Caenorhabditis elegans: one gene and its partners. The protein of the gene in region 2 purifies or fractionates together with the protein of the main gene of each other region. This does not show direct contact. Each region holds a gene or a part of one and is shown on either strand. Other genes may lie near its edges.

What was found.
Region 1: the proteins of arx-2 (region 2) and arx-5 fractionate together in Caenorhabditis elegans (co-fractionation; one large-scale study listed by BioGRID). This does not show direct contact.
Region 3: the proteins of arx-2 (region 2) and hipr-1 fractionate together in Caenorhabditis elegans (co-fractionation; one large-scale study listed by BioGRID). This does not show direct contact.
Region 4: the proteins of arx-2 (region 2) and rpac-40 fractionate together in Caenorhabditis elegans (co-fractionation; one large-scale study listed by BioGRID). This does not show direct contact.

Annotation. Positions count from the first base shown.
Region 1 is NC_003281.10:12,816,269-12,819,971, reverse strand, and holds arx-5 (putative actin-related protein 2/3 complex subunit 3), read left to right. Parts: upstream 1-1,871; 5' UTR 1,872-1,875; coding exon 1,876-1,984; intron 1,985-2,040; coding exon 2,041-2,114; intron 2,115-2,159; coding exon 2,160-2,234; intron 2,235-2,752; coding exon 2,753-3,046; 3' UTR 3,047-3,183; downstream 3,184-3,703. Other genes in the region: Y37D8A.25 (PH domain-containing protein), read left to right, coding at 778-959, 1,092-1,248; BE10.4 (DUF148 domain-containing protein), read right to left, coding at 3,262-3,399. UniProt on the Caenorhabditis elegans protein: Functions as a component of the Arp2/3 complex which is involved in regulation of actin polymerization and together with an activating nucleation-promoting factor (NPF) mediates the formation of branched actin networks.
Region 2 is NC_003283.11:10,334,961-10,340,072, reverse strand, and holds arx-2 (Actin-related protein 2), read left to right. Parts: upstream 1-1,717; 5' UTR 1,718-1,722; coding exon 1,723-1,770; intron 1,771-1,822; coding exon 1,823-1,933; intron 1,934-1,976; coding exon 1,977-2,240; intron 2,241-2,286; coding exon 2,287-2,448; intron 2,449-2,545; coding exon 2,546-2,834; intron 2,835-2,883; coding exon 2,884-3,023; intron 3,024-4,123; coding exon 4,124-4,297; 3' UTR 4,298-4,610; downstream 4,611-5,112. Other genes in the region: K07C5.2 (NADP-dependent oxidoreductase domain-containing protein), read right to left, coding at 19-137, 186-316, 367-570.
Region 3 is NC_003281.10:8,718,511-8,725,874, reverse strand, and holds hipr-1 (Huntington interacting protein related 1), read right to left. Parts: upstream 5,674-7,364; 5' UTR 5,672-5,673; coding exon 5,400-5,671; intron 5,352-5,399; coding exon 5,095-5,351; intron 5,035-5,094; coding exon 4,511-5,034; intron 4,427-4,510; coding exon 4,315-4,426; intron 4,234-4,314; coding exon 3,872-4,233; intron 3,253-3,871; coding exon 3,156-3,252; intron 3,107-3,155; coding exon 3,023-3,106; intron 2,567-3,022; coding exon 1,777-2,566; intron 1,393-1,776; coding exon 1,131-1,392; intron 1,075-1,130; coding exon of another isoform or gene 1,069-1,074; exon of another isoform or gene 888-1,068; coding exon 864-887; 3' UTR 543-863; downstream 1-542. Other genes in the region: nte-1 (Patatin-like phospholipase domain-containing protein ZK370.4), read left to right, coding at 1-68, 122-282. UniProt on the Caenorhabditis elegans protein: Regulates pre-synaptic vesicle recycling at neuromuscular junctions of mechanosensory neurons. Plays a role in maintaining a normal defecation cycle.
Region 4 is NC_003283.11:4,197,880-4,204,232, forward strand, and holds rpac-40 (DNA-directed RNA polymerases I and III subunit RPAC1), read left to right. Parts: upstream 1-1,605; 5' UTR 1,606-1,611; coding exon 1,612-1,695; intron 1,696-2,414; coding exon 2,415-3,094; intron 3,095-4,137; coding exon 4,138-4,241; intron 4,242-4,293; coding exon 4,294-4,410; intron 4,411-5,564; coding exon 5,565-5,680; 3' UTR 5,681-5,817; downstream 5,818-6,353. Other genes in the region: algn-5 (dolichyl-phosphate beta-glucosyltransferase), read left to right, coding at 346-534, 1,181-1,213.

The DNA of each region.
Region 1 (3,703 bases), on a different chromosome or scaffold from region 2:
CGAAAATGCGCACTGCACAACATATTTGACGCGCAAAATATTTTTTACTGTATCTAGATATTTTGCGCGTCAAATATGTTGCGTGGTACGCATTTTCAGAATTTAGTCGTTCCGTAATAAAAGTGGAATTGCAAAAAAGTTCCAAAAAATAAAAAAATGAAATTTTTTATCATATTTCAGCTTAAAATCCGCCAGGGCCATTATCATTGGAGCGCGCCATGTCGCGTCGATTTACGAGAGATTTTGTTTGCAAATTTCAGTTTTTCAACAAGTTTTCTATATTTTTCGCGTTTTTTTAAGTGAAAATGTGAAATAATTTTATGATTTTTAAAATTTGAAAAAAAAAATTTTTCAACAAAAAAATCAAAGAAACTTGCAAATTTTAGTTTCTTTGATTTTTTTTTTTTGAAATATAATTTATTTCGTGTAAAGTGAACGAAACTTACTGATTTTTCAATTTTTAAAATAATAAAATACCCAAATTTACACGAAAAAACACATTTTAATTTAAAAAAACCGAAGAAAATGAAGAAAACTGGTTTAAAAAACCGAATTTGGCTGCAAAAAAACCCCTCGTAAATCGACATGGCATGGCGCGCTCCAATGAGAATTTTTCTGGCGCGAGTTTGAAAATTGTTTCGCGCTTTCAAGCTGAAATATAAGATTTTTGAAATTTTTTGAATTTTTTTAAAACAAAATATGGGAAATTTGGAGTAATTTGAAAATTTAAAAAATCAAAAAAATGATTTTTTTATTAAAAAAAAAAGTTTTTTTCAGGATTTCCAATGGCGTGCCGGCTGGGGTGTTCTCAAGGCCAATATGCTTTTCGTGTACAATAAAACCGAAGAGGAGACGTCGGCTCCTCCATTTTTACTACTAATTATTGAAGACTGTTTTATCGAATTATGTGATGAGAATAAGATTGGCAAGGATTTCACTTTTGAAATCAAATTCAAATCGTGCGTTTTTTCCGGGTCTCAACACGAAAAATTAATACTAAATTCCAAAAAAAAACTGAATTTTTATCGGTTTTATCGAAAATCGATGAAAAATCGATTGAAAATTCCTAAAATTATCCGATTTTTTTCCAGAACTGCTCGAAGCTTCATCTTCGCCGCCGACTCGTTCAAATCGCTGGGACGTTGGGTTTCGCTGCTCACAATCTCCCCGATCGACTATATACAGCTCTCGAAACAAAGTTTTCATGAGCAAATCGAGCAAACTCAGAAGAAAGCGATGAGGGATTGATTTTTATACATTTTGCACATTTTCACTGTGATATTTTGACTTATTGATTATAAATCATACATTTTTAACGTTTTTTGCTTTGTTTTGCAGCTGGAATTTCCCTGAATTTATCGTTTTTTTCGCAAAAAATCGCGAAATTTCATTAAAAATTTCCAAACGATGCTCCGATATTCCGATGTCGCGCCTTGTTTACCGTAAACTTACACGAGATTATTATTTATTTTTCCGTTCCTGGAGAGAATTTCATCAGAAAAAACGTTTAAAAAGCAGAAAATCTTTGATTTTTTCCAATTTTTCTTAAATATCTGATTATAGGAAACTTGTAAGCTGATATTAATCATATTAATTCCAAGTTTTCATATATTTTAACACGAATTTCCGAATAAAAGTGTATTTTCGGGTTTTACTTTAATTTTCGCGTCCGCAACGACATTATCGCTTCAAAAACTGCATTTTTATCGAATAAAATACTTATATTTTAATTTAAAACTCGAATTTCACAATTTATCGATTTTTTTTCGCAGCCGCAGTGACTCATTATGTACTTACCCCCCCCCCCCCTCGGGTATCCGAAAATAAGCCGTTTTCTATGCATTTTTCCAAACAAAACACTTATTTTTCAGTGAAATGCCGGCATACCACTCAAAATTCGACACTGAACTCAAAGTTTTGCCATTGGGCAACACAAATATGGGAAAACTTCCGATTCGAACCAATTTCAAGGGTCCAGCGCCTCGTAAGTCTTCAAAAATTGATTGAAAAAACCTATATTATATATTAAAATTATTGCAGAAACCAATCAGGATGACATCATCGACGAAGCGCTCACCTACTTCAAGCCGAACATCTTTTTCCGCGAATTTGAGGTTGATTTTCGAGATTTTTCCCTATTAAAATTGAGAAATTTTCAGATCAAAGGTCCCGCGGACCGTACAATGATCTATCTCATCTTCTACATCACCGAGTGCCTCAGAAAATTGCAAAAAGTACGGATTTTGCACGAAAAAAACCTACTTTTTAGATTGAAAAATAAGAAAAAAAGACCCAAACATACCGAATTTCAATGGATATTTTGAACATTCCTACCGAAAACAGATTTTTTTAAGTAGAAAATTTCAAATTCGAAACATTTTCGATTTTCTCTGAAAAAATCCCAAATTCTTTCAATTTTCTCTGAAAAATCCACAAATTTTAAGGTTTTCTCTGAAAAAATCGAATTTTTTTGGTTTTTCCCTGAAAAAAATCTAAAAATTGTTTAATATTCCCTGAAAATTCCAAAATTTTTCTGGTTTTCCCTGAAAAAATCCGAAAATTTTTCGATTTTCACTGAAAAAATCCGAAATTTTTCCGATTTTCTTCGGAGAAATCCAACTTTTTTTTTTCTCAAAATTTTGGAAATTATAAAAAAAAATTCTAGTTACAAAATTCGGTCTTTTCGGGCTATTTTGAGTGAAATAAAGCGTAAAAACATGTTTTTTTTTTGCAAATTTTTTCAAATTTTCAGAGCCCAAACAAGATAGCCGGCCAAAAGGATCTTCACGCCTTGGCTCTCAGTCATTTGCTTCCAATTCCCGGTGAAAATGGATTCCCACTGAACAGCATGTACAAGGCGCCCCAATCGAAACCGGACGAGGACGAAATGCGTGCCTATTTGCAACAAATTCGCCAAGAAATCGGCGCCCGTCTGTGTGATCTCGCGTTCCCGGATCCCCAAGATCGTCCGAGCAAGTGGTGGCTCTGTTTCGCGAGAAGACGATTCATGGACAAGGGGCTCGTTGGACAGGGTGTTAATTTGTGAATTATCGATTAATTATTGTTGTATCTGGCTCAAAATTTTTTCACTTTTCCCATTTTTTTTTCCATGTAATTATATTTATATTGCGTCCAGTTTTACTTTTTGTGCTGCTTTAAAATATTCATTAAAATTCCGATTTCATCATTTTATTACGGTAACGCAACATATTTTGCGCGCGTCAAATATGTTGTGCGCGAAATACGCGAAATCTCTATGCTCTACCGATAATTTGTCTGCTTGGATCCCATCACTGACAACAAAAACGCCACGGTATCGTGTACGACTTCTGGAGCAGTTATCTGGCAACGTGCCAAGTGACTTCGAACCTCTTCGGGAAGTTGGGAGACTGGAAGAGCCTGGAAATTGAGAAAAATTGAAAATTTTAAGATTTTCTCCGAGAAAATTGGAAAATAGTCGAATTTTTTTCAGAAAACCCCAAATATAGGCCTTTTTTATTAGAAAATCGAAAAATTTTCAGGTTTTTTCAAATAAAATCGGGAAAAAAACTATTAATTTCCCGTAATTTTCCAAGATTTCCGTCTTAAAGGCGCACAGATTTGTTCAGATGGGTCTCGGCGCGCAAAAAAGTTTATGGTACTTTTTTTTCTTTTTTCCTGTTAAAAATTGTTTTAAATCAGTTTTTTTGCCGTTTTCCAGTCA
Region 2 (5,112 bases):
ACCATGAAACCAACATACCTTTTGCCTTTTCAAGTGTCTGCCAAACAATTTTCCTTCTACTTTTGTTAATTTCGTAGTCATCATCGTTTCCAGTATCACGGTCACGTGGATAGTGAATTAAAAGAAGATCTACATAACTGAAAATAGAAATAATTCTGATGATAACTCAACAAATATTTTCCTACTCGGTTTGCAAAGTTGCAAGGGAATTGGCTAGTTGTTTCTCAGTTTCCTCCACAGTATTTTCATTGAGAGTACGAACTTTAGTAGTGATGAACACATCTTCACGTGTCAAGCCAAATTGTGGTAGATATTTCTAAAATTTTAGAGGTTTGAATAGTTTTTCAGAAATCAGTTTAAATTTACCTTCAGGGAATTACCAAGAAACGTTTCGTTTTTGTAGAGATTGGCTGTGTCAAATTGACGATATCCAGATTTCAGAGCGGCTTCAATAGAGACATCTAAATCTTGTTGAGTTTCAATTCGAGAGATTCCAAGACCAATTTTTGGCATTTCGTATCCATCGGAAAACTTGAATGCACCACCAACAACATTTGTGAAAACACTCATAGTCTGAAAATACATTTAAATGAGATAAAAGAATATAAAAATGGCAAGAAATGAAGAATAGAGGACATTAAATATAAATAAGAGATAGGTAGAGGAGGAGGGGGACAGTTCAACAAACAATGGAAGTTTCATTGAACAATTTTTGAAAGTTAAGATGTGATGTTTGTTGTAATTTACACTATTCAATGGTAATTCATAGACTTTGAACGAAGCGTTCGATCATTGAAACACTCTCTTTGCGAAGTTTGTATTTAGAGTTCAATAAGTTTACTAAACAGAGAAAAATTGAATTAACAGAAGAATGACGTTATATTGTGATCATTTCCAATCACGATAGGAACACTACCATATACACATGACCTATCCTAGTTGTTATGTTGTCTCTTCCCATTTTTCTTAAAATTAACTGAGAAATTAAAATTTTGGATGTGAGGAAGAGCCTTTATTATAAAAAGCCATGTTTCATGTGGAAATAATTCGGTACAATCCATATCGCAACTTATTTATTACAGATGTTGAAAATGTTTTTTTACATAAATATTCAGAAATTTCTACCAAAAACTAATCACACAAGTAAAAAAAATCATAAATATGGTAAACATGTAAATAAAAATAAATGTTATAAATAAAACTAATAAAATAATAAAAAAAACAAAGGTTCATGATTTAGATTTTTTAAATCTGTTTTTACACTACGATACTCTTGCTGCAAATCTGCTCCATCGACAACCAATTCCCTGCGTCTCCACTATAGACAGAACTGTCATGTTTTTATTTCAATAGAATTTCCTTATTTCTTTTCTGTATATTTTAATCTTATAATTGTTTTCGTATTCTATGAAGAACATAAAAATTCTCGCGAAATTGTAGAAACATTTTTCCATCGACTTCCGCGTATTTTGACGGCGATCTCCACTAAATATAGTCAGATTTACTTTCCAGAAACCCTCGTTCATTAAATTAAAATCTAAGTAATGTAAAATATTGCTTAAATGTTCGTACTTTGTTCTATTTTAAGCCAACTAAGACAGTGTCAAAACGAAATTTTTACCGGTTTCATCGATTGGCAAGCAAATTTGCTATTTATTTACTTTTCTTCTCTTTATGACTCATTCGAAACCCGCACAATCGATTTAACAATTTTCAGGCGAAATGGATTCGCAAGGGCGAAAGGTGATTGTCGTTGACAACGGAACAGGTGTAAGTTGCAAAATTTTATCCCATTTTATTTTCAAAAATTCTGTATTTGCAGTTCGTCAAATGCGGGTATGCAGGAACCAATTTCCCAGCTCATATATTCCCTTCAATGGTCGGTCGGCCAATCGTGAGATCGACACAAAGAGTTGGAAATATTGAAATTAAGGTAAAACTTTACACAGAAAGGTCTTATAACTGTTTTCTCACAGGATTTGATGGTTGGCGAGGAGTGCTCTCAGCTTCGTCAAATGCTTGATATCAATTATCCCATGGACAACGGAATTGTTAGAAACTGGGATGATATGGCGCATGTATGGGATCATACTTTTGGACCGGAAAAGTTGGATATCGACCCGAAAGAGTGTAAACTGCTGCTGACAGAACCACCACTCAATCCGAACAGCAATCGTGAGAAAATGTTTCAAGTTATGTTTGAGCAGTATGGATTCAATTCTATCTATGTGGCGGTTCAGGTAATAGTTAATCCTCATGATAAAATCATAATGATTATATTTTCAGGCTGTGCTCACTCTTTATGCTCAAGGTCTTTTGACAGGAGTTGTAGTTGACTCCGGAGATGGTGTTACCCACATCTGTCCTGTTTACGAAGGATTTGCTCTTCATCATTTGACAAGACGATTGGATATTGCAGGAAGAGATATTACCAAGTATCTTATCAAGGTAAGTTTTTAAATGTTACATATTAATTCAATTATTTTCCTGATTGCTATAGTGACAAAATATGGTTTATTAGAAACTAACATATATTTGTTTTCAGCTTCTTCTGCAACGTGGATACAACTTCAATCACTCTGCTGACTTTGAAACTGTTCGCCAAATGAAGGAAAAGCTTTGTTACATTGCATATGATGTTGAGCAAGAAGAACGTTTGGCACTAGAGACTACAGTTCTTTCTCAACAATACACTCTTCCTGATGGTCGTGTGATTCGTCTCGGAGGTGAACGATTCGAAGCTCCAGAAATTCTATTCCAACCACATCTGATTAATGTTGAAAAAGCTGGTCTCTCGGAACTTCTTTTCGGATGTATTCAAGCCAGTGATATAGGTATTTCAAAAATGAAATTGTGCATTTCCATTATAAATCCCTTTTATAGATACTCGCCTTGATTTCTACAAGCATATCGTACTTTCCGGTGGAACCACTATGTATCCAGGATTGCCCAGCCGTCTTGAGAAGGAACTGAAACAGCTGTATTTGGATCGCGTATTGCATGGAAATACTGACGCGTTCCAGGTAACGAATTTCCGAAAATTCGGCCACAAGGATATTGCCGGAATAATGTTGAGACTAGGCAATTGTCAAAATGCCGATCGCTGAGTTTTTCAAAATTCAGCAGTTGTCAAAGTTTCGAATTATCAAAAATAAATTCCAATTACCGAATAGAAAATTGAAAATATTCAGGTCGTTTTGAGTTATATTTCTTCATCAAAAACACATTTACTACAGTAGAAATTGATTTTTTTTGTTAATTTTTATAGTTATTTTTTCTAATAGTTTTGAACCCGGTAATTGCCGAAATTTTTTGTCGCCGAATTTCTAAATTTTCGAAAATTTTTATAACTCGAAAATTTCTGAAAATTTTTTATTTTCGCCCACTATGGCTGTCTTTTTTTTAATCAAAAAAAATCGATTAAAGATTAGTTTCAAAACAGTTGGTAGTAGAATTGAAATTTTTTCCACAAATAATTATCAATCAAAAAGTAAAAAGTTTTTTTGAAAAAAAAAAAACAATTTTTATGTAATGCCAATTTTTGAATGGGAAGTATTACGAAAGCACAAATTTCTGAAAATGCGTATCGCGAAATATATTTTACGCGCAAAATATCTCGTAGCGAACACTACAGTAATCCTTTGTATGACTACTATAGTTCTTGTGTAGATTCAAGAGCTCGATTAGCTGAGTTGAATCATTTATTTATTGATAGAACATTATTAAAGTTAAGAAAACAGATCAAAAAGAAATTCATTTTAAAAATCAAGCTCATTAAACTAGACAATGTTAAAGGATTACTGTAGTTTTCGCTATGAAATATTTTGCGCGTCAAATATGTTGCACTCTACGCATTCCCAGATATTTGTGTTCCTGTAGTAGTTTTACTTTTGGTTATTTGACCATTCCTTTTAAGAATGGCGCTTTTGGTCGTCAATGACGATTTGATGATGTGTTAACTAAATGCATTTGATTTCTTCGTGTGAGGTCTCCTAAAAGAACACTCACTCAACATCTTAGTTTTCCGCCCCATCACCCCAGTGTTTACTTACATCCTTCTTTAGTGGGCGTGGCTACGACCTTGAAAAAATTACCAGCAATGTTCCAATTTATTTATTTTCAGAAATTCAAAATCCGTATAGAAGCCCCACCAAGCCGTAAGCACATGGTTTTCCTTGGAGGAGCTGTTCTTGCAAATCTGATGAAGGATCGTGATCAAGATTTTTGGGTTTCAAAGAAAGAATATGAAGAGGGTGGTATTGCAAGATGTATGGCCAAACTTGGAATCAAAGCTTAAATATTGTGACTTTATTTTCGTGTTAACATGTTTAAAAGTGCTTTATGTTCATTTATCCCCGTTTCTCTGAATTCTCTTAAAATCCCCTACCTGTTAACTAATTTATTCTTTATAGGCATCCTATTCTCCCCCACTCTCATTCAAACGTTTATCTTTCAAACCAACAACCACCTGAATCCATCATTCTCTGTTGTAAATACATTTTCCACTTTGAATTCATTCACTTCTTCAACTTACTTTTGGTTTGAAATTGAATTGCGTCACCTCTTATTCCTTCTTCCATTTTTCCATTAAATGAAACCGAAATCATCCAGCAAAAGGGCATTAGAAAAAGAGACAAACGACGACATTGATGACCCGCATTTGATACACGGATACTCTACCACCTGATAACGGATAATTGTTATCTTCAGGCCCGTGTCCTCCTCTATTTCAACTACTTTCATCCGAAATACTCCTTTATTTGCGACATTCGGATTTTTTCTTTCCAACTCATTTATTAACTGATTCATATAATCACATTTAAATCTTTTCAATTCATTTATTTTAATTGGTTTCTCTTTCTTTCCAAAAGGTCCACATAAATCAGTGGTCGATGAAATCGTCAGAAGCGACCGGCACTTCTAAAATGGTGTCGTTTTAGTGTCCTTTCATCGCCTGACCAACCTATCAAACGGGGAGGTCTCGTCTGTGTTGAAGCCAAATTGGAACTTTTTATAGCTGCTTTACTCTCAGAATAGTTTAAACTTTTTTGTTTATTGAACCGTCGGTGAACCTATGTTTTTTGGATTTCGATTCTCGATCAGTTGTGAAAA
Region 3 (7,364 bases), on a different chromosome or scaffold from region 2:
TCCATCAGCTAATGGACCAGTTGGAAGAGCCGGCGATCATTTCCTATTAGATGATGATTTGTTTAATGGTGAGTGATATAAAAGTTTTGAAGGTTTAGATGATAATAACGAGCCATTTTAGATACCGATTATTACGAGGAGGAATCATCGCAGTCTGAAAATGGAAACGAGTCGTTCACAGAAGATGAAGATCTTGTCATCGGTCCACCGAGCAGCTCATCGTCTGGTGGAAATGTTAGTGAAAATCCACGTGGCACAACTCCACGACCTCCTTCTTCCTGAATCAGGAATCTCTTTTTTGTAGAAGTTAAGCAGTGGAGCACAAAAGGATGTTCCATACGTTTTTTGAAGATCTCGTTTTTATAGGTCCCATAGAAGTAGCTTATTTTTGTAAATCGATCCCTTTTGTGTCAAATATACATATTTCCTCCCTTACTTCTCTCTCCCACCGTCCCATCGCCTGAATTTCATTACGGGGTTCGAATGCTCTTCTTCTCAAATGTATAGAAAGTTGTGAATTGTGTTCCGGATAAATAAATATTTTTGGAAATCAATTTCATATTCAGAAGTTGTTTCTTACAATTTAAGGGGGATGCTTTTAGAATAAGAGATTTACAAACATTTACAAATTATAAAACATTTCTCTATAGACTGTTGGATGGGCACCGAAATCACAGGACACTGGGAGTGACTAGTTTCTCAAAGTGGGACGATAAAATTGGTATAAACAAATTAAGCAGTGGAGCAATTTGAGATTTTAGTGAAAAAAGAGGGTAAGGCATTGATGTATATAAATATGGTATAAAAAAAAAGCAATTTGAGTAAGATTGTACAATTTTGGAAATACTCGGATAGATTGTTGGTTATTCCTGAGCTTCTTCTCCTTCCTGAAATTTAAATTGATTTAAACGAGTTGTAATAATTTTCAAATAAGGTGTAGCTTGTTTTTGTATTCTTGGTAAATGTGCACGGGATACAAACATAGGGAGTGATGTTAAAAGAGAGCTTTTGGGGGGAGTGCTCAAACCTTTAAATTCCTTGATTCCTAATTCGATAGTCAGTTTTCTATTAGCTCTGTTAATGTTTTCAGGTTTTAAGGAAATACATGTTCCTATTTTTTAAAAACTAACCTTGTTCGCAACCAACTGAGCCATGTGATAATGCTGCTTGCGGAGAGCCGCCAACTTTGCTCTTTCTTGATTCAAACTTTGCTCCAATTCCAGCATTTTCACTTGTGATTCCATTTCTTCTTTCTTCGCAGCGTGCAACGAAAGATATGAGAAATCAAGTGAACCTTCATCGTTGAGAGTTGTTTGACCGTTTTTGACAGCAGCAACCACCTGGGCAGTATTTTGATTAACGGCTTTTGCAGCAACCGAGAGAGCGTCCAATCTGAAAATATTGTCGAATTTAGAAACAAATTCGGTTAAGTTTTAGAAACTACTGAAATAAAATCAGTTCTTTTTCCTTGAAAATTTTCGTTCAGAAAAATGAAAAAAATACTTGTTTTAAAAGTTTTCTGATTTTCAAAAAATTATTGTTCTTCCAATATTTCGAAACATAGCTTTAATTTTTGACGATTTTTCTTATTGATATGTCGTTGTTTGTGTTTTGGAAAAACCAATGAAATCTGAGCCACAACAAGAAGTTGACAACTACAGTACTCCTTAAATGCATACTATCTTTTGAATTACAAGAAAAACGGTCACTTCGAGATTTTAAATTTTCGAGAAAACCTCAAATTTTGGCATCGGATAATATTTCCAAAAAACTCACTTTGACGAATCCTTGTCAGCTTTTACTCTGCTGGAAACAAATAATTGTGCAGTTGAAGCTGCAATCTCTTGAGCAGCAACAATCAAATGCTCGAATTTTCCTTTTCCAGTCACAACACCATCAGCTGACTCGACCAACACTCTAGCAGCCACACCAACAGCTTTTGCAGCTGACAAGAGTCCTTCTGTCCATTGATGATTTCTTTTGTAGAATTCTGCAGGCGATCCTCCTGCTTTTCCAGCTGCGACAATTTCAGTTTGAAGTTCTCTTGATGCAATTACTAATTGCATGATTACTGACATCAAAGCTTGACAATTTGCAAGAATCGATTCATTCACTTCAAGACGAATTCCATCTGAACTCTCACGAGCTCTTCTTTGAATTGCTTCAATTTCTTGAACAGCTCTTCGAATAGCATCATCCATTCGTCTCATTTCTTGTTCCAATTCATTTCCAACAACATCTTTATCAATATCTGTTTGAAGAGGAAGTGATATCATCAATGAATTCAATGTTTGTATATCTTGTCTAAGTAATTTCATTTTATCAGCTCTTGAAAGAGCACTGTCATCAGAAAATGCAACTTTTGCAGCAGCCAGAACCTTCTTGCACTGATCATTTACACCTTCATAACTCTCGATACTTGCAGTGTAAGCAGCTGAAGCTGCAGCAGAGAGAGTTGTAGATAAAAGATGTCCAGCGAAAACATTATCCTTTGTAGCGAGTGGTTCATCAAGACGTTCATTCGAGAGAATATTGACGAGATTATTCATTGCTGACTGGGCGAGATCTGAAAATTTCAGTAATTGAAGTGGTTTTCTTGAAACAATTTTCAATTTTTCCAAATTGTTGGTTTTAGTGTTTTTGGGGAGAAAAGTATTTTTGGAAAATACAATCAATGTTTTAATTTTACTTTTTTTAATGAAAAAATACTCGAAATTTTAATACGAGTGCATTTTTGATCATATTCTTCAAGTTTTTAAAAATAACGTTTCAACATGTTTCGTTTTAAAAATAAATGTTGATTCTTCGAAAATCATGTTTAAATTTTGGCCATTTTTACTCACTTTAGAAAATGAAATTTTATAAGGTTTTTTCGATTCAAAATAAACAAAATTTGATAGAATTTATTTTTTGTTAATTTTCTAAACTTTTTTAAATGTTTCGGTTTTCCGGTAGAAAACTTTTTTCGGTCACGATTTTGAAAATAACACTTTTTTCTGACTCAGCCCTGATGATGACTTACGTGGAGGATAAGTGATAGACGTAGCATTCTGTAGAGCATCTTCACAATGATCAAACATTTGTGTAATTCCAACACCAGATTCCTCTGAAAATTAAAGTATTTAAAAAAAATACATTTATCCAAAATTTCTTACTGGCTACTTCTAACTCAGCGAGCCGGATCTTATTAGTTTCTTCAGCAGATGATTGAACTAATTGATTGGCGTGTGATTCTCGAAGATGATCGATTGTCTGTAAGAAATAAATTGTTTTTTTTAATATCTATACAGTGATAATGTTTTTACATGATTCATTTTTGACATTTAAATCGCGAGGAGCGAATTGCATTTTCTCTTCATAAAATATGCTTTATACTTCCAAGTTTCGGTTTTTCGACTTTCGTTTTCCGATTTTTCGAAAAATAGTTTAAAATTTTAGCCATTTTTCGTCTTCATAGAAACTTACTTAGTTTCCTCGTGTTAAACAAAATTAGTTTTAAATGTAATTTTTTCGATATATCGATTTTCCAGAAAATCGGAAATTTTTGTTTTTTTTTTCAGATTTTCTAATTTTTCAACAAAAAAACAGCATTCAATTTTTTAAACCATTTTTGTTTTTTTTTAAGAAAAAAATATATATTTTCTTATGTTTTTCTCATCAAAATAAACGAAATTCGAATGAAAAAAAAAATGTTTTCTTCGATTTTTTGATTTTCGGGAATGTTTATTTTTTCGATGACACCCTTTCTCTCAAAGTGAGAATTTCAATTTTAAAAATTTGTGAATTTATTATGATAAATTTAATTATAAAAAAAGTCTAGGAGTTTCCGAATTTTGAATGTATATAAAACTTTAAAAAATTCAAATCTTACCCTTTTCAGCTCCTCAACTTCAATATCAGCCTTAACCAATTGAGTTCTCATCTCATCAACTGCTCCAGCATCACCCTCCGCCTTTGTCAAAGCTCTTCCAGCTTCTCGTTGAGCTTCTTCTACTTTTCGATTCAAAGCAGTAATCTCTTCGTCCTTATCGAATTTCGATTTTTCACTAGCTTCTAGTTGTTTTTGAATATCTCCTAATTTTGTGAGCGCTAAAACGTGTTCACTTCGGAACTTTTCGTAAACTCCTTTCATTTTATTAAATCTTTCCTCAGCTGCCGTTGCTTTCAATTCTGCTTCTTTTACACGTGCATCGTCTGTCTGAGTTCTTGATGCATCACGAAGTGCAAGCTCGTCTGAAAATATATCTAATTAATAATAATCTGACTTCCAACTAATTTTGAGAAAAATATCATTCTCCAAAAAAAAAAACGAACTCTTCAGTCTCTGTGCCTCCTCTCGATTCTCATCAGCTTCTCGTTTTGCGTGATCAAATTCTCCTTGCATTTGCAATAAACGGTTCTCATATTGTTCGATGCGGCTGCGCGCCTGGAAAATAGTAAAAAATGTTGTATTTTGTTTATTTTTATGATAGTTTTAAAAAAAAACTATATTTTAATAATCAACTCTTACTTCTTGAATGAGTCGTTCCTTCGCAAATTTTTCATCTTCAACAGCACGACTCAACATAACAATTTGTTCTTCTCTAGGATCTGGCTGACTCGATGGACTCGCTTGTTGTGGCTCTGCTTCAGCTAAATTCAATAATTCCCCGTCATGTCCGTTGAGAGAAGTTCCATCTTCTGAACCTTCCGAATGAAGATATGCATGAGGTGTTCGATAAGATTCAAGATCGGATTGTTGAAGGAAGTTCGGTGCATGAGATGGCAATGTTGGAATTGAAACAAGATATTTGAAATACTGAAGATTCGATGATTCTTCGTAAAACTTCTTAGTTCTCTCGAAAATTGTTCGGAATCTGGAACGATGACCTTCTAATGCATCTGGAGGAACTTGACTATGAAGTTTGAAGATCATTTTAACGAGATAATCGTAGAATTTACTGGTATCCAGAATTGCAATAATCAGTGGAGAAAGCATACATTGTCCTTGTGGAATTAGAGAATTCCAGCGTAGGGAATTCATCATTTCATACACTGAAAAATAGAAAATTAATAATTCAATAATTTTCCAGACTTGAAAAAATCATTACAAACCTCTATCCTGCAATACAAGAAGTGCATCCATCTGATCCAACATATCAATTGTCATCTCAAACATATTGTCTAAATCTCCTTCTAATGTTTTCAGTTGTGAATCATTCAAATCCAACTTCCCCGGAACAACTGGATATTTGTTGTGAAAAGTGACTCGATCGTGAAGTAATTTACAGTATGACTCAATGCATGGACCATATCCACTTGTATTCAAATGTTTCCAGAATTGAGAAAGTTGAGTGAATCGATTAACATATCTGAAAAATATTGAATTTAAGATTATCACTCCTTCAAAGAAACCCCACCTGTAAGTCTCTTCAGGAACCTTTCGATGTCCATCTCGAAGCAATTTGTGCACCAAATGACAGAACTTCCAAGTGAGTACAGGATGTTTCTCCAACTGAATCCGTCCTACAGTATGCCAGAAGATTCCAGATGATTTCTCCTTGTGTGTTCCTACTATTATGGTTCTCGCATGTTTTGGTTTCAATGGAACCTCATTTTTCGTGATCGCTTTCTGAACAGCCTCCAGTTGAGCTCGAACGAATACCTCGCGCGCTTGAGCACGATGATCCATTCCTGAAAAAAATTAATTTTTTTGGGGGCATGTGATAGAAAAAGTGTGAGGAGGAGATATGACTTGGCACATAATTTGCATTTTTGTTAAAAATTCCAATTTCAAAGAATATTCAAAACCCTGAAATCAAAACCATGACAAATCAATCTATTAGTTGCAAAATTGAGGAATATAGATGAAAAGTAAGTCAACTATTAGGCGAAAAGCTTTCCTCCCGCATATTTCATCACAGTGTGTGTGTGGCAACAAGCCGGTTCCGCGCGCGTTGTGGACAAAGTGAGTCACAAACAAAAACAGAGAGAGAGAGAGAGGGAAAAAGAGAGGAAATGATGTTATTTAGAAGAGAGGAAAATGAATCGGGTATCGCATATAGGTACTCAAGATTCTTATGATTTGTTCCATATTCGAACTAAACAGCAAAAATGGCTTGAGTTGAGAAGGCGAAGTGATCAGGTTAAGACTTTTTTGGTATTTTGAGTCACATTTTTTGAGAAAAAAAAGGTTTTTTGGGACCTAAATGAAGCCAAAAAAGTCACTTACAGTCCTTCAAAAATCGCAAATCGACGATTTTTTTTTTGGTATTTCACTTTAAATTCTTTTTGATTTTTGGTCCAGTCCTGGTAGTGACGACATATTCAAGAAACACTAAAACTTCAGCAATGTAACCGATTCGAAATAGTTCATAAACCATGAAACTTGCAAAAGCTTTACAGCTGTTTAATCGAAAACTTGTTCAGACAATTGAAAAGCAAAAAGTGTTTAATGAGAAGTTTCCACTTTGCAAAAGAAAACTACGTGAAAAAGATAGTCTAACATTGATTTTTATGTGCATAAGACCTCAAATGTGTCTTCTTCTTCTTTCAGAAACTTGTGCAAACTATACCACCGGGGGCAAACACTACAAAATGGTGACTCTTTCTCGCTATGCTACGGAAGTTTTTGTATTCTTACAACACAATTTCCGTAAGGGTTTTCGTGTTCACTGAACGGTGTTTGAGAAATAAATGGAAATGGGCAGAGAGGAGAAAAGCGAAAAAGACATGAAAGAAAATGGGAAAAGGTTTCGAATTTCGATGAGAAGTGAGCGAGTGTATTCCCCTTGCGTCGATTTGCAATTTGCATACTTGGAAGTTAGTCTCATAAAGAAAAGGTATTAAACGATGGTGGCCGGGAAATCGGGAAGTTATTCAATTCTCGACTGAATTAAAAATCGTTTAAAAACGAGAATCAAAACTTTTTAAAGAACAATGACTGCTGAATTTTAATGAAAAAAAATGTTGCTCTTCGAAATTAAGCTTCAAAAAATAATAGTTCTTGAGCTTCTTAGACAAAATATGACATCAATGGCTGGTCAACATTAAAATTTTGAAAACGAAGTAACTGATAAGCTCATGAAATTGTCCTTTTTCTCATCGAGACACAATGAAATGCATTCATGCCAGCAGAAATGCAAACATAAATGAAACGGAGGAATGTCGGATGCTTGAAAACCAAAAGAGTATTGCATAATGAATAGAGATGAATTAAAATGTGAAAAGAAAATGTTTAAATTTTTCGAAAATATTAATCTGTATTAAATTCTGGAAAAATATGTGAAAATCGCTGGAAACGATTGGTAATCAAATTAATCCAGAAAATAAAAATGAGATTTATTGTAACGAACAAAAACAACAAAAATTACTAGAAAAAAACG
Region 4 (6,353 bases), 6.1 Mb from region 2:
GCCGGAAATTTTCAATTCCGGCAATTTGCCGATTTGCCAGAAATTTTCAATTCCGGCAATTTGCTGATTTGCCGGAAATTTTCAATTCCGGAAGTTTGCCGATTTGCCGGAAATTTTCAATTCCGGAAATTTGCCGATTTGTCGATTTGCCGGAAATTTTCAATAACGGCAATTTGTCAATTTACCGGATATTTCAATTCCGGCAAATTGCTGATTTTCCTGAAATTTTCAATTCCGGCAAATTGCCGATTTGCCGAAAATTTTCAATTCCTGATTTAAGATTTTAGCTAAAATTCGTCAAATTAAAGTAAAAAAAACCAAAAAAAAAAAACGTTTTTTTTTCAGATTTTCCCAGTACTTCACATTGAGCGCTGGGCTTTTGACGTTGAGCTCATCTTCCTTTGCGAAAGATGGACGGTCCCTGTGAAAGAAGTTTCAGTTCGATGGACTGAAATCGAAGGGTCTAAGATTACTCCAATTTGGTCTTGGCTTCAAATGGGCCGAGATCTTGTGCTCATTTGGTTCAGATATACGGTAAAATTGCAGTTTTTTAGGCCTTTTTTGAAGTGGTGTCAGGATGTCCCATCGCTCTACTGCACACGAAAATGGCGGGAAAATATTTTTTTTTTAATTTGTGACGTCACAGCGTATCTTGAATAATTTTCTTAATTTTAAGCGCCGATTTTTGTCAAACTTAAAAAAAAAATAAATAAATAATATCTTTCTCATTTTAATTTATAAAATTTGATATTTTACCAAAATTCTTAAAATTTAGTGGAAAAATTGAAGCAAAATACACAATAAAAATGAATAATTTCAATTGAAACGAATTTTTTTTTTCGAAAAACCATTTAAACCGTTCATTTACCAAGTTTCCGTGAATTTTTTAAAAATGATTTTCCAAATAAATTTTTGTTTAAATTGAAATTATTCATTTTTATTGTATTTTGCTTCAATTTCTCCACTAAATTTTAGAATTTTTGTAAAATATCAAATTTTATAAATTAAAATGAGCCAGTTTTTAAAAAAATTTCACGAAAATCGGCGCTTAAATTGAACAAAAGCAATTATTCAAAATGCGCTGTGTGACGTCACAAATTTTCAAAAAATATTTTCCCGCCATTTTCGTGTGCGGTAGAGCGACCTGACAATATTTTTGACATTAAAATTTTATTTTCAGATCGGAATTTGGACGGATGACCAGCCTCGCTAAATGCTCCACAAAAAATCGATACGAGATTTTCAAAAAATCTTGCCCAAAAATTTCCTTTTTCTTCTAGTAATATCTATGCTTTAATCACTTTTTTTCCCTGCTTTTTCCTGATTTTTTTTCCAATTTATGGCTGGTTGTAAATATCCATGATTCCTTGAAAATGTGATTCTATTCTTTTTTCTTTTCGCATTTTTATTATTTATTTATTTACTTGTTGGTTTTTCTTTTTTTTCTCTCTTGTTCTGGGGACTCTGGGTTTATTTTTAATGCTAAATTCAAAAAAATATCGATTTAAATGTTTTTTTCCATTTTTTTGTTTTTTTTTTCGTTTTCCCAGCGATTTTATATCTTTCCATAGAGTTTTCAGGCGAAAAAAATCAAAAAATTTCCAGGCAAAAATGGTCAAAAAAGCGGCGGCAACTAGCAAGCAGGCTACCTATCACAGTGATGAGATCGAGATGAAAGAGGAAGTTGTGCTCAATGTAGGATTTTTTGAATATTTCAAGGATGCAATCGCGCTCCATTGGGAAACGAGAGCGCTCCGCCCCCAAACGTTGGGTCTCGTTAGGAAATCAGGCGGCAAAAGCATTTTCCGTATTTTTTTAAAATTTCGTCCAGAAAAATTTTAAAAAATTCCAATTTTTTATTGAAAATCGTTATTTTTCCGAAAAAAATTGTTATACAAATTTACGAAAAAAGGCGGCGATTTATCAACTGCCGGAAATTAGTGAAAGATTACTTTTTTTCAAAAAAAATTGAAAAAATTTAAAATTGTGAGATAAACCAAGAAAAAATTAACTTTCGATTTTTTCAACTTTTTGGAAAAAAAAAACACAAACCAAAGAAAAAATGAACAAAAAAAAAGCGGATTGCGTGTATTTTTCACCACGCGTAACGTCGTTGTCGCGATGTCCTCCGGACCGAAGAGCAAGAAGCTAAAAACGCCCACGCTTGAACAGCAAATCGAAGATGGAGTCAATGCTTATATTCACTCGCAGCAGTTTGAGTTCAACTCTCCACCACGGGAAAATTTTTTTGCCAATTTTTTCGTCTCAAAAAAAAAAGGAAAAAAAAACCAAAAAACCGACATTTCTGGTCAATATTTTTTTTTGTTTTTTTTTTTTGAAGAAATTCGATTTTTTGCTTTTCGGCCGAAATTTTTATTTTTTTAAATTTTCCAAAAATTCTTCTTCAATTCCAGACCTACGACGAATGCACCGATTATGTCGAATACGACGATACAAAACAATTCGATATCAACGAGTATTGCGATCAAATCCAAGTGGCAATGGTCAATGAATCCGACGATGGAATGACATTGGAATTTGATATTACTCGCATTGAAGCTCCAATTGCAAATGCTCTTCGCCGTGTGCTCATCGCCGAAGTGCCAACGATGGCTCTCGAGAAGATTTATCTCTATCAGAATACTTCTGTAATTCAAGATGAAGTACTCTGCCATCGTTTGGGTCTTCTGCCGCTTCGTGTGGATCCACGTGGATTTCAGTTTCCAAAGGAAAAAGTCGTTGGAATCAATGAGAAGGGAGTGGATTGTGACGAGGAGCCCGAGGGAGATCCCGCGAAAAATTTGATCTTCAAGATTAATGTTTCGTGTACGAAGAATCGAAATGCGGTGCCGACGGCTACCGATCCGAAGCAGCTTTATCACAATAGCTCGGTCTACTCACGTGCTTTTGAATGGGTACCGATTGCTGATCAGAAGACGCAATTCACCGAAGAAGCCCATCCACGTATGGTTTCTGATGATATTCTCGTTGCCAAGCTTCGTCCTGGACAGGAAATTGAAGCCAGTTGCCATGCGGTCAAGGGAATCGGACGGGATCATGCAAAGTTCTCACCGGTTGCTACTGCGTCCTATAGGTGTGAATTTTGAAGCTGCTGAAATATTTTCTTTTGATTTTTGCGGTTTTCCGGAAAATTGAAAATTTTTCGTTTTTCGATTTTCTCGGAAAAAGTGAAAAATTGGGGGGAAAAAAATTATAATTCATATAATATATTTTCGGTTTTACGGGACCCCAAATTCTGAGAATGCGTATTACACAAAATTTTTGACGCGCAAAATATCTCGTAGCGAAAACTACAGTAATTCTTTAAATGACTACTGTAGCTTTTAAAGAGTTACTGTAGTTTTCGCTACGAGATATTTTGGGGAAGTTAAATAATTTTTGTACATCTACCTATATTCAGTATATTTAGACTGTTTTCTGTAATTTTGTGGAAAAAAAAGTTCGAAAATTTCAAGCCAGAGGTGAATTTTTTTGTCGACAAATTTGACAAATTGCCAATTTTTTTTTATTTTCGGCAATTTTCATTTTCGGCGATTTGCCGGAAATTTTCATTTTCGGCGATTTGCTGGAAATTTTCATTTTCAGCAATTTGCCGATTTGTCGATTTGCCGGAAATTTTCATTTTCGGCGATTTGCTGGAAATTTTCATTTTCAGCAATTTGCCGATTTGTCGATTTGCCGGAAATTTTCATTTTCGGCGATTTGCTGGAAATTTTCATTTTCAGCAATTTGCCGATTTGTCGATTTGCCGGAAATTTTCTTTTTCGGCAATTTGCCAGTTTGACGATTTGCCGGAAACTTCGATTTCGGTTAATTGCCGGTTTACCGATTTGCCGGAATTTTCATTTTCTGCAATTTGCCGGTTTACCGATTTGCCGGAATTTTCATTTTTGACAAATTGACGATTTGCCGGTTTGCCGGAAATTTTCATAGAATTTGCCTACTTTTCAAAATACATGTAGGAACATTTATAGGATGCGTACAATTTAGCCGATTGAAATTGAAAATCTGAAATTTCCAAAAAAAATGTGCAAAAACACAATTTGCCGGTTTGCCGGTTTGCCAATTTGACCTTCAAATTCTTCCAATTTTTCAAAAAATTTCTTTTCATTCCAGACTGCTTCCAACGATCCGCTTGAACGCCGAAATTTCGGGTGAAGCTGCCGAACGTCTCAAATCAGTATTCAGCGAGGGAGTTATTGCTATCGAGAAGAAAGGAGGTAGATCATAAATCAATTTTTAGGAAACACACCAATTTTTTTAAAATTTCAGCCAAACGAATTGCTGTTGTCAAGGATGCTCGCAAGGATACGTGCAGTCGTAACGTGTTCCGCCACGAAGATCTGTCGAAAGTTGTTCAATTGGGAAAGAACAAACAGCATTTCATTTGTTAGTGGCAGGGCTGAATTCGAAAAAAAAAACTGAAATTCATGAATTTTTCGCATTTTTTTGGTTTTTTTTCCAAAAAAAAATACACGAAAAGTTGTCGAAAAACAAACCCCAATTTTGTTAAAGTTTGAAACCTTATTTTGAAAATTTTAAATATTTTTGCCAAATTTTAACTCTTTTTTTTAATTTTGAGAGTGGTTTTTTTGGAAAATGTATAAGTAATTTTTTTTGGAGCCGGAGTTTTTATATATTTTTTTTCGCTTTTTTTTTCGAAAAAAAAAGAATTTTCGCCAGAAACATGGTACAGACGTGCCGTTTTTCGATTTTTTTTTTGAAAAAATTTTTAAAACGAAAAGTTGAAAAATTGGAAATTGGGAAAAGAAAATTTTTGAGTTTTCGAACTTAAAAAAAACGAAAAAATTTTTAAAAAAAATGTTCAGAAAATTAAAATTGAGCAGAAACTGGGGAAAATTCGAAAAATTCTGAAAAATTCACAAAAAAAACCCATTTTTTCGAACTTTTTTCCGATAAAATTACAAAAATCCTAAATTTTCTACTTTTCAAGGGCCCGAATTTTTGTGGAAAATTAGTAAAAATCGGTTAAAATTAACCATTAAATATGATTTTTTCTAATGGGGTTATTCAAGTAATGTAGCAATTTTTTTTTTTTTTCGCAAAAATTTTTTTACACTTTTTAATTTTCCGACACTACTTGAATAACCCCATAAATCAATTTTATCGAAACTGATGAGAAAAAAAAATTTAACGAAAAAAAAACACAAAATTTCGTCGTCAGAAATTTTTCGATTTTTCCCAAGTTTTCTAATTTTTTTGGTTGAGAAAGTCGATTTTTTTTAAATATAAAAAAAAAACCGAAAAAAACGTAGGAAAAAAGAGGGAAAAACTATAAACTTATTTAAAAATAAATTATATTTCAATGAGAAAAATGAAAATTTCTTCAAAAATACAAAAAAAAACCAAAAAACCATTTAAAAAAATTGCCAAAATTTCAAATTTCTTTTTTTTTAAACTGAAAAAAAAACACACAAAAAATTTTTCACAATTTTTACCGGCAAATTCGGCAAATTGGCAATTTGCCGGTTTGCCGATTTGCCGGAAATTTTGAATTCCGGCAATTTTAGTTTTTTTTTCAGTCAGTGTAGAGTCGACTGGAGCTCTGAAATCGTCTGAATTGGTGGTTGAAGCCTGTAAAGTCATGGAAATCAAGTGTCGTTCTCTTCGCAAACAAATCGAGGCTCTTATTCAATAATCCCCGTTTTTTTGAAATTTTGTTACTATTTTTTTATTCGTTATCCTTTTTTTTTGTTGTTGTTTGACTACCCCTCAAGTTGTTACACTGTTCCGTCACTTTCTTTTTTCTTAATTTGAATGAATTTTCGTGGCTTTTTTACCTTCAAATATCTCCTAGTTGGCCAAATGGTTGAAATTTCCATTTTTTATTTGTTTTTTTTGTAGTTTTTTAACAGGTTCATAGAAAAATCATTCATTTTTTCGGTTTTTTCAGAAAAAAATTATTAAAAAATGGAAAAACTCCAAAATTTTGAGCTATTTTCTCAAAATATTGGAAAACGAATTCTTTTCGATTTTCAGAAAAATTAGAAACAAAACTTTAAAAATCATCAATTTTTGTCTATCCTGATGAAAAAATATAATTTTCTTCAAAAAATTAAAAAAAAAAACCAAAATTTGAATAAAAAATTGTAAAACTAACATTTTCGGTTTTCCGGAAAATCGAAAAAGCGAAAAATCTTTTCTTTGCAGAAAAAAAGAAAAATCAATTTTGTTCTAAAAAATATCCTTTTTCGAAATACTGGAAAAACGGGGCAGTTTTCGAATTTTTTTCAGAAAATTGAAAAAAAAACGATTGTTTTTAGAAAACTAGCAAAAATTCAATATTTTGTCGAATTATATAATTTCTAAAA